Daphnia pulex: one gene and its partner. The protein of the gene in region 2 interacts with the protein of the main gene of each other region in a pairwise test. Links are inferred from orthologs where the notes say so. Each region holds a gene or a part of one and is shown on either strand. Other genes may lie near its edges.

Region 1 (7,984 bases), on a different chromosome or scaffold from region 2:
CTCAGCACCTTTGTGCCTCAACCAAGACCTAGCACTCACTTCACGGAAGTAGAGCACACAAGTAGACCAGCCCATTCACGAGGGCGAATGTCGCTTTACGAAGACCGATGCGCGCGTAATTCACGGCACTCGATGGGTTCTCCTGTTGCCAATTACAGCCTGGCTCGGCACGAAATCTAAAACTAAATGCCTATTTATGTGAATCGCAGAAAAATGTTCTGAAACTACGAATGTGAAAATTTGGTGGCCTTGTTCAAATTTTGGCAGTTGCTTAAGATTTTGAAATTGTTGAATGCACTTTGTACCGATCACCTAGTCGCGTTAATAATGTTTATCGTGTAAAAGTTGTGTTACATACCTGATTTTTAAATGTGTCAAGGCATTTCCGCAGTTAAGCCTTATTGAGAAGTTATTGTTAAAAATACTGCGTTGTATACGTTTCTGCATTGCAATCATATCTTCTCGTTTTGTTCAACTGAGCTTTTAATTGTTCATCATTGGTGTTTATTTCAACATGCCACTCAATAGAATATATTCGAGGATGGCTGTATAGGAAATTTATGTATTTGTGTTTCTCTTATTTTCAAGAGTTATGCTCACAATATTTTAGAGTATTGAATAACCGTCGTCCATAATGTTGTCTTCTTGTAATCGAAAAATAGACTTCATTGTTATAATTTTTATCCTTTTTCACTTCATTAACTCGACATATATAAGGTAATAAGTGTATTTTTCCAGATATTTCCAGATATTGATCTGTCTTTCCACGACGGATGCAATTCAAAAGTTAGGACAAAAAATCTCCCTCCAATAAACGCTTGAGGTAAAACTAACTTTTACGACGGCGTACGCGAAGGTGAGCGTGACGGTGAACGAGAAGATGGGCTAGAAGAACCCGATTCTCCCTGCGCAGCATGGCGTCGCATACGCTCTCTAAAGAATTAAAAGAACAAAATTGTTAGCTTTTAAGCGAAAATATTTGTTATGGTACAGCATTTACTTTCGACGTAAGCGTAAAGCAAGCTCGCGCATTTCTTCCTCGCGATTCATTCTGTATTTGTTTAACAAAGTTTGTTTTTATTATTGAACGGAAAATAAGTGTTTAAATGTACATTAACGAATATTGTTAATGCCCAAATTTTACCTTTCCTGTTCTACTTTTTGTAGTTTTTCCTTTTCAGCCCGTTTATCCGCCTTGTCTGTAACAATATCAACATATCAATCTAGTCATGGAAAGCTTTATCTAGCAATAACAACGTACATTGTTTGTTGAGAGCTGCTTGCATCTTGCGCTTTAGTCGTTCCTGTGGCGTCATTGTATTCTATTTTAAAATATTGCGTGGATATTAACATCTTTCAAAAAGGCACGTGAACTCGAATGACTAAAATTAGTAAAAAGGCAGGACTTTTCTTTTAAATAACTTAATAAATCTAACTGTCTTTGCAACATTTACAAGTAACACGAAAAATACTCCTTAACAATAGATTCTGACACTGCAAATATTGATATCTTACTGACTTTGGTTGCACCAGTGCCTCTACCACTAGAACCTGTCACTGATGGAGTTGAAGGCCTGAAAAAGAAATATAGTGTACAGCTCTTCAGATTAACATAAGGAAATGATAAGATACTTTGATGCTGAATTAGAAGCTGTAGGTTTGGATGGCGACGTAGACTCTCTGTCCGAGAGAGACGAATCAGAGTCGCTCTTTTTTCGACCATAATAGCGACGTACAGGAGGAGCAGGTAATGGGTTAGATATTTGGGGTGGACTAAAATGGCGTGTTTCTCGAGCAAGTGAGGCATATGACGGAGGTGGACGAATGGGAGAAGAGGAACGACGGATTGACTGACGAGATGATGAGGACCGTGAGGACGATGAGCTTGATGAAGACGATGACGATTTTCTTCGACTGCGCTCACTAAAAATTAAAAATTAATATTCAAATTTTACGAAGGAATTTAATCGTGAAATTAATTTTGTACCGAGGCGGAGAGCGATTCCTTTGCCGTCTGCTACTTCGCGGCGAATACGACCGAGAGCGTGATCTTGAATGACGAGAACGACGACGAGATCTTGAGCGCGAACGTGAGGAACGATGACGTGAACGTGATCTTCGGCGAGAGCGAGACCTAGAACGCTCATTTTTGTAGTAAGATCCGGATTTTTTATCTTTTCTGGATCTAGAAATGGAAGGTGATGGGGATCTGGCACGATGATCTCCCGAACGGGAATGTCGTTTGTCATTTACTTTAGTTGTGTCACGACCACTGTTTAAAGGACGACCACCCCTGTCTCGAGCCAAAAAAGTTGTGGAGGCAAATGGCCGCTTATTTGGTAAATCTTTATCGCGAGTTTTGTTCGGAGACCGAGAGCTAATTGTTTTCCCTCCTGGATCCGAATCTTCGTCACCAAAAGATGTGATAAATTTGATTCCACCTTCGAAGGGTGAAGGAGAACGTGACTTGGACACTGATTTCGAGCGGCGAAGTTGTCCATCGTAAGTTGGGCTAGCTCGTGTAGCGTAACTAAAAACATCACGAAAGAAAACGAAGCAAACAAGAATGTTGAATAAGAAAGGAAAAAACAAATTGTTCAAAAATATGAACGTAAAATTATGCAGGGTGATTTTACCTTGGAGGACTCAGACATCGATTCATAAGCAATGCTTGCAGCTTTTGCTCTCTAAACGCCCGTCGCTCTTTCCTTGCTTTTCTCCCCTAGGATTTTTTGTCTAATAGTTAGTTATTAGAAACTAAACCTGAAATATTTTTACAATATTACAGAATACATGGCCCGTTCTTGTTCTTCCTCTTTAGCGATTCGTAATGACTCTTGCTCATCCAAATCACGAGTGAGTAGTGACATGAAGTCCTGCCGGCCTAACCCATAGTGAAGTGCACATTTGTTGACTTCGTGCATTTGCTCAGTTGTCAATTTATCGACAGCAATTGATAAATCTACGAGATCATCAATGTCTTCACAGATATTTTCGATTATTTGATTGTATTTGACTAATATTACCCAAATCAATGTCGCTATCGGATTCTTCTTCTTCAGTCGCTTCGGGAGGAACCACGGGAATATTATGCGAAGTTGATGCTGCGGCTGACGAGGATGGCGTGGAATCGTCATAAGTGAACCCAATGGCCGCTTTCTTCGGCGCAAGCATTTTTTTCTTTTCCTCTTCACCTAACTTTTGAACTGGTCCGAATTGCTCTTCAAGCAATATTTGATGTAGAAACTTTTCCTCTGAAACTAAAAATGCATATTACACAAAAAACTAGTTAATGAAAAGAAAGCATAGAAAACAAAAGTAAAAAGTCCTCCAGGCCTTACAAGTTCTTACATATATTCTGTCTAGGTCAACATTCATTATTGCTATCTCTCGCAATCGACAAGGCTGAAGGAGAAAAGGGTTTTGTCAAACACGGAGGTACCGTTCGCATGCATTCGTCTTCAAGAAAGCGAGCAGCGTGGTTGAAGTTTAAGCGGCCTTGCACAGTGAAAACGCCAACTGTCTCGTTAGTCAGAGAGAGCGCGATTTTAGTGCCAAGAAAAAAAAGGACGAAACGAAAAGAAATAATCAAGAACGGATTCCAGTGTGGCATTATCATTCCTACTTTCTAAAGAAGATCTACGGAATCTGTTTTTCGTCAATCTCAGTTCTGGGGGTATCGCGGCATAACCTGTTCTTTTAAACTTCAATGGTGATGACAGCTTCTGTTCTCCAGGAAAGTGGAGAAAAACAGACTAAAATACAGAGATCGAACAATAAACTTATTTGCTGTTCTTTGCGATTGATGGTGAAAACATAGAGCTTTTTAATGGAGATCAGGGAAGCTTGTCCTTCTTGTCCATTCCGGATTAAGGTAATAAATATTTATTATAAAATTTAGTCTGGATATTCAAGTTATTCACCCTTTTCTTTTCAGAGTGCACTAATAGCAAAATTCATCATTCTACTTCTTGTGACAGCAACATTAACTGAAGGGGCGCCTATTCCCGGTCACTATTTGGAGGAAACACCAGGAGAGGATCGGTCTTACCATATTCACAATTTCGTGAAGAGAATGCATAAGCTATTCAGTTTAATACAGTTTACAATAAGGCATAATCTTGGCATGTTTTGAAAAATGTAAATTATTGTCCATACAAACCACTGAGTGATTTCAGTCAACTGATTTTATTTTCTAAATGTATCTTAAGAACTTTGAGAGATGTCTTACCTCCAATAAATTCATTTTGTACAAGGATTCTGTATCTTTCATAGCTCGCTTGTCTTTCTTCCCACACCTCCTCACCAGGATCCTGATCAGTGTCGCTGTCATCTTTTTGGGGGCGACAAGGAATAACATCTAGATGTGCTCTAACATCAAACCGGTCAATCAAGATTTCTGGTTGTCCTTGCCAAGGCATCCTGTAAAAGTAAGTTTTTTGGGCAAAGTTAATAGGTACAGAGATCCAAGATATTTAGAGCCCTCATTATACATTGTAGCAGGACTGTCCGCTATAGCTGCTATTGCTGGATCAACATGAATTTTCATGGGGCGACCATGAACTTGAAGGAATTGGGCAGGATCTCCTTTCTAAAAATTGTAGCATTAATTTTTTTTTTAAATTTTGTGGGTGGAAAAAATAAAATTATTAAGCTTGTTATATTGTTGACTGACTGTTTTCTCATAATATTCTCGACGCCTTTCAGCTCGCCTTCGGTGATCTACCATCCTTAAATTGAAAAAGAGCTCAGAATTAGAAAGCCAAGGACATCTAATGCCATTTGCACATACATAGACTTCAGGAGACGCTCCTGTTTTCGTGCTTCATGCCACATGTTGATGGGTCGAAATCTTCGTTTTCAGTGAATCCTATACTTTCTGAACTGTATAGAATACGTTTTTACTCACTTATTATCAACAATTCTATATTTTTGAAAAACTTCAAAGTAACAGCAGACTAATCATCCTTCATTAAAATACTCTACAAGATTGGTAGGAGCCACCAAGCGGATCACACAAGTACTATATGCCTTAGGTGTTGCAACAAAAAACAAAACAAATCGCATGTACGCATGTATGCAAAACGCCAAACCCTCGGCCTTAAACTTCAAAATATCAAAACTTTCTCTCCCGACTCCTGTCGTTTCGACAGTCCAACTTTCTAATGTATTAGCAGCTTTTACATCAGTAACTGCAGTGGAAAAATGAGCGTTATAGGAAAAGATTTTTTTTTCCTTTTTAGTTTTTATCTTTTGAGCATATGGTTACAGCATTTTCTCTCGACAACATTTTGTAGGTTAACCGTACGTCACACAGCTTTCACATTTCTCAATTTCAACTTAGAGAATACTTATTAAGTAATAAAATGGTCCGTTAATTTATGGAAAATACGAATAGGTAACAAGAAGAGTAACAATTTTCCTGGTTTACCGATGTCTAATGATGCAAGCTAGCGTTAAACTACAACTAGTGGTTAAATGTGAGATTGGAAATTAACGCAATATTGAGTGAACTAAGTGAAGAACAAAGTCAATTAACGACATTTACCGTTAAATATATGTAGTCAATTATACCACATCAAGATTGGTAAGACTACTTCAAAATAAATCAAGCGTTTGCTCGAGCAAAATTTCAAAAAAAAATAAGACAGCCCAAATAAATCTATTTGCTAAGTATTTCTTCAATTGGATTTCAAATTAAAAAAATAAACTTGCAACTTGCTCATGTATATGATTGATGATGAGTTCCAATGATTCAAAGATGGTCCGGACTCCGGAGAGGTGGAGTCTAACCGCGGTGAGTTGAGAAGAGAATTAAATCAAGAAAATGCCGGCGAAGCTTGAGGTTCCTTTTTGGCACTTGATCAAAAACCTTTTTCTTTGAAAAGGTGAGAGATGGGGTTAATAAACTGTGATGAGACGATTCGGCTGGGAGTCCAACAAAAAAAGATCTTGGACTACAATTAATTTAAAGTTTTTTGGGCTGAATCCCCGCCTCAACCTCAACTCATACTTTCTATACTCATATATCTCTACCACACACCCACCTACCCAATATGACGTCATAGAATAAATGTGAATCTTGCCTGAGTAATTTTTTAGGAACTTCTTTTAGAACTCCAATCCAATTTATCTCCAGTCACTCAAAAGTCTCTAAATCAACCTTGATATGGTGGCATTAGAATAATATATTGAATTCGGTATCCAACAATCGAGTCCTTAAAAACATGATGAATTAAAGAAATTAAGGGTGGCATCGCGGGTTTTTCAGTAATCATTCAGGACACCTTGCATTGTTGACGAAACACCCTATTAAGAAAAAAAGAATCAGGAAAAAATCAAGGAGTTTATCGCAAAATGTGAGTTATTCTATTACTTTTAGATGATCTGAATCGGAGTATGCGACCATTCCATATATTGGCTTCCTGTGGGGGTGATGCTATGAGATTCTCCTTTTGAAAATTACGATTGATTTAGCTTTCAAACTTAAAAAAAAAATTATAATAATAATAATAATAATAGTAATACTCTTAAAATAGGAAATATCAATAACAAGCAAGACAGAAATTCAGCCTGTTACTACTGGAATACGCTGGAGGGATGTAAAATTTTTCTGTGTCAAACCCTCTCCGCATCGAGTTATGCCTAACTTTCCCACTAACGTGAAAACCGCATTGCAAATTTGGATGGTATTGACGCAAAATGATCGCACAATACGACCTTTCTATTATATTGGTACACCGTAAAGAAACAATTAAACACAACTCCAATCCAAAGTCTATTCATTTGCTGAAATTTTATTTCCACGTAACTATCTAGTTTACTATCAAGTTAAATAGCAGACTATACAAATATCCACAGATCGCAAAATTTTTCAATATGGAAACCTTATTACGGATCAAATTTACAGCTTCAAATGTGCTTTTCAAATGTGGGGAAAATTCTAATTAGATGAAAATAAGAAAAATTATAATCAAGTTTGAATACATCTCGTGAAGATGAGTTGGAAAGTTTCGCGTCGCTATATTTATGGCTACAAGCTGGGCACAAGCCACTTCATTTTGAATTCATCATCGGCCAGTTGAAGTTGACGTACGTTACACGCACGCCTTGAAGGTAACCCTAGCGTGAAAAAGTAAAACATATTTTATAGCTTGTTGGCATAAACACATAAACATGTAACCCACCGACTTACACCGGTTTATTTCATGGTGTTGGTTGTCAAAATCAATTAGAAAAATTTCAAAAATCGCTCTCTCAATAAAAAATTAATCTTTTTTGAAAAATATAAACGGCCAAAAAGATAAAGTCTAGGCTACACCGTTTTAATTTTTCAAGATGAGATGAAATTTTTCACGAATTCTTGCAAAAATTTACCGGGAGTTTGTCAAGAAGAAAATGGTAAAATATTCATTGCAATTTGGTCATATTTATGGTTTGATCTCACGTCAAGATTACAAAACTAAAGAAAAAGAATGGTGACCACAAAGTCAAAAAAAAAAATCGCTAGAAAAAAGGGGTTTCTGATTTTAATCGCCAGTGATTTTGACATTGTCGTAGTTATTCGTCATAGCTGAGTTGGCTGTAAGTAAAATGAAGGGCTAAAAACTGGATGACTGAAGAATGTAGTGCTTGGAATGGGAATTTTAATTTCGAAACCATGGACAAAGCATATTGCTTGAGTTCTCCTTGGGAAAAAATCAAGTCATGGAGATCAGTTTTCCAATGGTTTAAGGCTAGTCAGATTTACACATCTTATCCATAAAAAACGGAAAAAGTCAAGCATGCAGACAGCCGCTTTCTCGATTTAAATCTCTGTTGGGCAACTGCCAACTGGTGGTCTTTGCCTCCTTAGGCCTTCAAACCAATCTCTGTCGAAAATAGGAAACTTGTGAAATCGGTATTTTTTTAAATTTCTATCACCTATTCCTGTGCCATCTAGCGTTCACCTCAACACTACCTATAACGTTCAGGAATTTCCCAT
Region 2 (6,612 bases):
TTCTCCGTTCCGCGACGGTAAATCGGATAATCTTGATCATCGTCGTTGGACAGCATGTCTACAACCTCTCCGATATTAGTAGGTAAACCCAGAGTTTCCATTACATGATGGCGACCGTTACTGCTGAGTACAGCCAAACCGTTATGATCCTCGTTGATCTTCAGTCGCAAGTATCTAATCGATGTAAATAATTTGTGGTAAAATTGTGCTGAACATTGTTTGAAATTGTTGTATACTTATTGCAGCGAACATGACTCTCCCCAGGCGAAATAGTCAAAATGGACAGTTGCGACTCGTTATTCTCCGCAGGTCCTACTTCAGCGCTGTGAAAGAGGATTGGTCCTTCCTGTTTTGGTATATTGATTAATGCCAAATTTAACTAACTTTTCTGATAATTTATTATTTTACTTGTTTCATGAACGACATGTTGACGCAAAATCCGTGAGCAGATCCGGTTCCTCTGTCACGAAGAATGGCCTGAGCGTCGACCAAATTCCGAGCGCTAAGCATCGCCCTTGTCAGGAAATGACGCGCTGAAAAAAAAAGAAGGAACGCAAGTCTAAACTAATCAAACGAAAATTAATTTAATTATCAAGTACGTGTTTTGTCATTATGGACCCTGACAGGTTCTATAATATTGATGGTGTAAACGAGACCGTGCTCATTAATATTCATGCAGAAGCCAGGCAAGTGCCCAGCGTAACAAAGCGACGAGAATCTCTCATGACGTCCACATTTTTCGGTAATATCAGCGTGAACGATGTACAGATGGTTGAGAGTTACTGCAAAAGCGTCTTCCGTGTGTCCCAAAACCACCTAAAAGTAAGATCATTTTTCTTTTAAACTTTCACTTTTATAATTAGTTGAATTAGAACTTGCGTTTTCGTGGTTGCACATGACGCTCGAACAACCGTTTCCTGATAGTTGAGATGACGACGAGGCCTCTAATATCATGCTATCGATGTGCAGTAGCATCAACTAAATAGACAATGTTGGAAAATTATTAACATCCACTTAAAAAGTATTTGAAACTGGACCTTGTAAAAGGGCACTTGACTGCCGTCAGAAATTCCTTGCAACTCATTGACGTAATAAGGGAACTTGGCTTTCATTCGAGCTAGCGTGTCGTCGTAGATTTTCAGTCCAGCAACTGTGTTGTAGGCTGGCAACAGCTCGTCGTTCAAAAATTTCGAGTCTCGAACTAGTTCTTCTATCTGATGTTTAAAAGTGTGGCCCTGTCGGATAGTTGAAAAGTCAAGTTAGAAAGTCTAGGATTGAATTTTGTTTTCCTCTTTTTCTTACCACATCGTAGCCGACTTGATAGAATGTTCCTCGAACGTAAATAACTGGTAGGAAAATTCGGTTTTCCATGTTGCTCTCTCGAAAGATGAAGCGGAAATGGATCCAGTCGTCTTTTCAAAATGAAAGCGTCCACAAGAATCCTTACAACATCGGTCAAGTTTTAATCTTGTTAAGGGCCAAACACGTAAGAAATAATCCACTTTTGTGAGCCAAAACTCATTTCATTTCGGTGCACTTTGCGCATGTTTCTTTTAGAAGTTATTAGCCGGAATAGAAAATTTGCAAATTAGAGAATTCCTTCTTACCAAATAAATTACTTCTCGCGCACTAATAAAACTGACGCCAATTTCTTTGGTCCACCTTCGCGCGTTGTTGATAGTTTTTATATAATCTTCTTACGTGTCGTTATAATACAGATAGTATCGTTGACACAGCGCTTTGATAAAAACAAATCCCGAAGACGTGCGTCACCAAAGTTTAGATAAATCGCAAATAACTGAGCTGTGATTTAACTTGCAATAGCTCGAGAGAATTTCTTGATAAATGTGAAGCCACTTTTCCGCTTACATTACACCTATGTGTATGTATATGTGGATTTCACTTACGCATTTGTTTAACCGGAATGTGAAATCAAAATAATTTATTATAATAATCCTTTGTCTTTCATCAGACGTATTAGGTAATAGATATCTTTATCTGTTTTCAGTCTGACATAACTAAAAAAAAAATTGTATAGTTCTTGTCCCATCCTCATCGATGCTAATTAAATTACAAATTTGCAAGTATAGGCAGATGGTGATACCATGTGACCACTTTGTTTAAAGGAAGACCGCCAGTTGTTGTACCTCTCCACCGAATTTGTATGGGCCGGTGTAATGTTACACTGTCGCAGTTGAGCACTAAATCGGGTTGGATTTTTAATCGAACGGAAGATGGACGCCTTACGACACATTTCCTTTCGGCGGAAGACTTATGGAGCAGATAAGAAAAGAAATTACAGGTACGCTGCTTTGCCCATATTATTTTCAAGGTTGTGTAATTCTTTTGTTTGGTGAAGGATTATGAATAAGTTCCGGCCAATGAAAGACTAAACAAAAGCAAATGTTAGAAATATTTATGTCATGGCACACATTTTCTTTAAGGGCTAAGAGTACTATAACAGTAATACTGTTTCCGATTTTTTGCGCACAACTAACAAATTAATGATTTTATTGAATTTAATAGGTATAATTGGGTATGCATTTTGTTGCTGTTGGTATGGCAGTTTGCAAGAATTTCTTCACCAAAATGTAGCACCTCCATCCGAACCACCAGTGAAAAACCGATCCTGTCTTTGACCTAATACTACATTATGCCCAGATCCGTGCGCCAACTGGGCAGCATTGGGTGCAACACCAGGAGGAGGTGGAGGAATCCTCACTTGTGACGTTGAATCGAAACGCGCACCAGCATCGAATGCTTTCTAATTAATTATTTTAAATAAGAATTAGTATAAAACTTTGACAATTTAACTGGTTGAACTAAGAAATGTAATATGTACTCACTGGAACAACAAAAGTAGCTTGAGGATGGACTTGCTGCACATGTACTTGGGGTTGATGGGGTTGATGGGATTGATATGATTGATAGGGTTGATAGTAAGGCCCTGGGGCATTCATGGGCACTTGCTGCTGCTGCTGGATATGCTATAGAAAAATAAGTCTTGTTTATAAAATTTACTAAAGAAATGTTTATAATTAAACATTTCTTACCTGAACTGGAATGTAAGATGCATTATAGTTAGGTGGGGCAACTGGGTGGTGCATTGCTTGATCATAACTTGGTGGTGGTGGCGGCATTCCAGACATAACCGGCACATAGGGATTGTAAGGACTGGAGGCAACTGCTACAGCTGGATTCACCATATTGTTTCCAGGTGGGTACATTGGGTATGGCAATTGTGGAGGCCCTACAGGCTGCTGCTGCTGCTGTTGTGTTGGATAAGCTGCTGCTGATTGACATTATTGAAAAGTAAGGAAGTTTTTTTTTAAACTGTTATAGCCAAATGTATCCTAATACATCATGGTACTACTTTATATGATTAAATCTTACCCTTTTTTTCATTCTTCTTTGGCATTTCTTCAATTTGCTGATGGGTTACTTGGACTAGAGTGAATGTCAGCTATGTATTTTTGCAGAACTGATCCACTTCTTAATAAGAAACGTCAGCAACTAGTGCGTCAGTACGTGTTCTAATAACGTTTTTGACTCACGATTGGTAATTTTTTTGTTGCGCAAGCAGACGTTATCAACAGAAAACAAACAGTTGATAACATAAACGTTGCCATATTTTGAATCAGTATCGATTTCTTTTAAAATCATTTCCGTTGCGGTCTCAAAAGTCAAAACCAGCTTACAGTCAACAAGTTTTATTGGAATACTATATTTTTAGAATGATTTAAAATTGAAATAACAGTGTATATGATAACAAAAACAACTCATGTCAAGGTGTTGTATTTTTCTAGGTACTTGGTATTCCCGGAGATTCGTCCGGACTTTCGAGGCTGATTCCCATTCTACGTAAGAAACAATGCAAAATATTTGAGGCAATCACAACTGAAGACATGCAAGGGGTGATGATGTAGTGTAATTCTATAAATCGCGAATTGCCAGACGTACAAGAGGAAGACAGAAGTTAAGATAAAGGCAAGGGAGGGGGCATCAGGGTATTGTAATTTCACACTTCATATTCAATCCGAGGTAGGCATGTACTTGAGACGAACAAATCAAAATACATCACAATTTCGTAAATGAGATGAAGTAGTAACACTGCTTGTTAACTTCAAGTTCGAAATTAAGGGCGACATAATAAAAGATAAGTTCGTGGATTAAAGCCTAAATGGGATTAAGTAATTTCACACTTATTATAAAATTTGAAGGAGACACGTAACTTAATTGAATGGTAATTAAGTCAAGAATGGCCATCTAAAAAAAAATTAAATTAAAAGACAGCGAGGGGCAAATTTGATTAAGCGAAAGACGATCACTGTTGGCCAGCGATAAATTTCTACTTTTCCTGAGTATCTACTAACGGTGAGAGTAAAAATGGCAGTTTTTCGTGTGCGTATTGCAGTCTGTATAAGAGATCAGGATTGCAACCGTGTTCAGCCAGCAAAGAAAATTTGAAGGTACGGAAATTTTTCTTCTCGTCGATGACTGTCACAGCTCCCATGAGTGGACAGAGGATCAATTTAACGTGGTCTTTAAAGTAATTAATCTAGTAACACAAAAAGTTAATTATTGATTAAATGAACAAAATAGACTTGATGAGATAACTTTACCTGTAGCGTTCCACTCGTTAGGTGCATGACGACAGCTCGAGATGTGCGGAACCACTGACGTAGGAAAGGCAACCGAAGATGTTCATCACCGTCACGTGGAACAACGGATGCACCAGTCTTGATTAAGTGCTCTTGCATGTAAGAGCGGAAATATGCGAGCAGTTTCACCTTTTTACCCAAGGTAGGCGGATGTTGATCCATAGTGTAATACAACTCATTTCCATTGCGTTCGACGTACTGAATGGTCCTATTGCAATTATTGTAGTTGGCATTTAGGTCTTAATTATTAATAAAAAGTAAAACTCTTACTTTGCGTCAACCAACAGCAAAAGTTTCGTTAAATCATTGAAAATGACACCAATTGTATCATCGCTGAGTTGGTAGCCGAACCCGTATTTGTCAGAATAATCTACCCATTTAGAAATCCATACCATAGGCACTGAACCCGGATCCTCTGCCTCGTCTGAGATCAACAATTAAATAAGTTAAAGCAATTTTAATAATATTTAAATACTTTAAACACGCACCCATCATAAGAGGGAACTTCTCCGCAGGTTTTGCACTGAAGAGGCGGGTGAGCTGTTGCTGAAGCTCACGCAATAGTTTCTCAGGAGAAGGTCCAGCCGTGTAGAGGGCTCCGGCATTCTCAGCATGGTTAGGTTCGTTGGAAGGCGCCAATCCATCTCCTAAACAAAGCAAACACACACACACAAATTTATTGTTAGTATCTGCTCCAATGTGTTGTTTGGAAGTGTTTGAAGAACCTTGTGGATGCTCAGCAGTTCCAGGTAAATGGACTCTGTTAACTTCGCCCAGTGGACGACGAACAGCAATAATGCTGCTATTCAATTTGGCATCGAATCTCGGAGCCATCGTGAGGCATGATAAAGGCAAGCGTGTTGGCATATAACCACATGTCATGAATTCGTCATTCAAAACAATATCGACCGCAGGTCTAGATAGATAATTCTGAAAATCTTTAAAATTACACAACACTAATATCAAGTTATTATACCTGCAGGTTGGTTCACCCTGTAACATTCGAGTTATAAGAGCACGGGCAAGAGGCCCGATCCGAGAGGGAATATGATATTCATTTCGTTTGATTTTACTGTATGTATCTTTGAGAGACTGCGTCTCAAAAGGTGGACGACCAACAAGTAAAGTATACCTGAGGATTTAATACAAAAGTGAAGTTATATTTTAAAAAGAATAAGAAAAAATAGGTCTTACAAAATGCAGCCCATTGACCAAATGTCAACTTCAAAGCTATGGCCTTTTTTGTTGAGAACCTCTGGAGCAATATAGTTGGGAGTACCACAAAGTGTTCTAAGTAAAAAAATAAAATAAATTATAAACAATTCCATGCAGCTACACTTGGTTGCTGTTACTTTTTTCTCTCTCCACTAAAATCTAATTTTGTTGCTAAACCAAAATCTCCAATTTTAAGTTCCATGTTATCATTCAGGAACAAGTTCCCAAGCTTGAGATCCCTGTGAATCATTTTGTTTTCATGAAGGTATTTTACACCCAATAGAAGTTGGTGCATGAAATATCTTGCTTCTGGTTCAGTTACAGCTTTCCTTCTTTTGTGCAATTCCATTAGACTCTATGGAATACGAAAAAACTGTTTCAGTAAATTGTCAGTTTAATTCTGCTAACAAAGACTTACCCTTCTTTTGCACAGTTCCAACACTATATATACAAAGTTATTATCTTCAAAGAAACTGTGAAATCCTACTACATGATCATGTTTCAGACTACGATGAATAGAAATTTCCTGAGCCATTTTATCTTTTTGGTGAGGCTTGACAAGAAGTTGTTTGGAGACGATTTTTCCAGCAAACACTTGTCCATTGTCAAGATCTGTTAGCTCATAGCATTTGGCAAAACCACCCTATGAAAAAACTGGCGTTATTTCCATTTTTCGATTATACTAGAGGTGGATTTTCATTACCTTGCCGAGAAATCTTCCTCTTTGGTACCTCTT

What was found.
Region 1: the proteins of DAZ-associated protein 2-like (region 2) and CLK4-associating serine/arginine rich protein-like interact in a two-hybrid assay, tested with the Homo sapiens proteins (2 studies listed by BioGRID and IntAct). The link is inferred for Daphnia pulex from reciprocal best matches to the Homo sapiens genes DAZAP2 and CLASRP.

The regions. Positions count from the first base shown.
Region 1 is NC_060022.1:6,845,110-6,853,093, reverse strand, and holds CLK4-associating serine/arginine rich protein-like, read right to left. Parts: upstream 5,082-7,984; 5' UTR 4,837-5,081; coding exon 4,793-4,836; intron 4,731-4,792; coding exon 4,676-4,730; intron 4,592-4,675; coding exon 4,494-4,591; intron 4,423-4,493; coding exon 4,232-4,422; exon of another isoform or gene 3,938-4,231; intron 3,875-3,937; exon of another isoform or gene 3,422-3,874; intron 3,261-3,421; coding exon 3,027-3,260; intron 2,963-3,026; coding exon 2,787-2,962; intron 2,723-2,786; coding exon 2,637-2,722; intron 2,531-2,636; coding exon 1,988-2,530; intron 1,924-1,987; coding exon 1,633-1,923; intron 1,575-1,632; coding exon 1,520-1,574; coding exon of another isoform or gene 1,516-1,519; intron 1,323-1,515; coding exon 1,262-1,322; intron 1,200-1,261; coding exon 1,145-1,199; intron 1,052-1,144; coding exon 1,001-1,051; intron 934-1,000; coding exon 837-933; 3' UTR 712-836; downstream 1-711. Other genes in the region: leucine-rich repeats and immunoglobulin-like domains protein 3, read left to right, coding at 1-180. UniProt on the Homo sapiens protein: Probably functions as an alternative splicing regulator. May regulate the mRNA splicing of genes such as CLK1. May act by regulating members of the CLK kinase family.
Region 2 is NC_060021.1:6,408,718-6,415,329, forward strand, and holds DAZ-associated protein 2-like, read right to left. Parts: upstream 3,577-6,612; 5' UTR 3,419-3,576; coding exon 3,394-3,418; intron 3,313-3,393; exon of another isoform or gene 3,293-3,312; coding exon 3,054-3,292; intron 2,988-3,053; coding exon 2,847-2,987; intron 2,765-2,846; coding exon 2,582-2,764; 3' UTR 2,402-2,581; downstream 1-2,401. Other genes in the region: uncharacterized protein LOC124193795, read right to left, coding at 1-174, 237-346, 409-533, 600-816, 880-978, 1,038-1,235, 1,303-1,371; serine/threonine-protein kinase PLK1-like, read right to left, coding at 4,349-4,558, 4,623-4,869, 4,932-5,085, 5,150-5,308, 5,387-5,793, 5,856-5,951, 6,014-6,231, 6,295-6,519 and 1 more. UniProt on the Homo sapiens protein: In unstressed cells, promotes SIAH1-mediated polyubiquitination and degradation of the serine/threonine-protein kinase HIPK2, probably by acting as a loading factor that potentiates complex formation between HIPK2 and ubiquitin ligase SIAH1.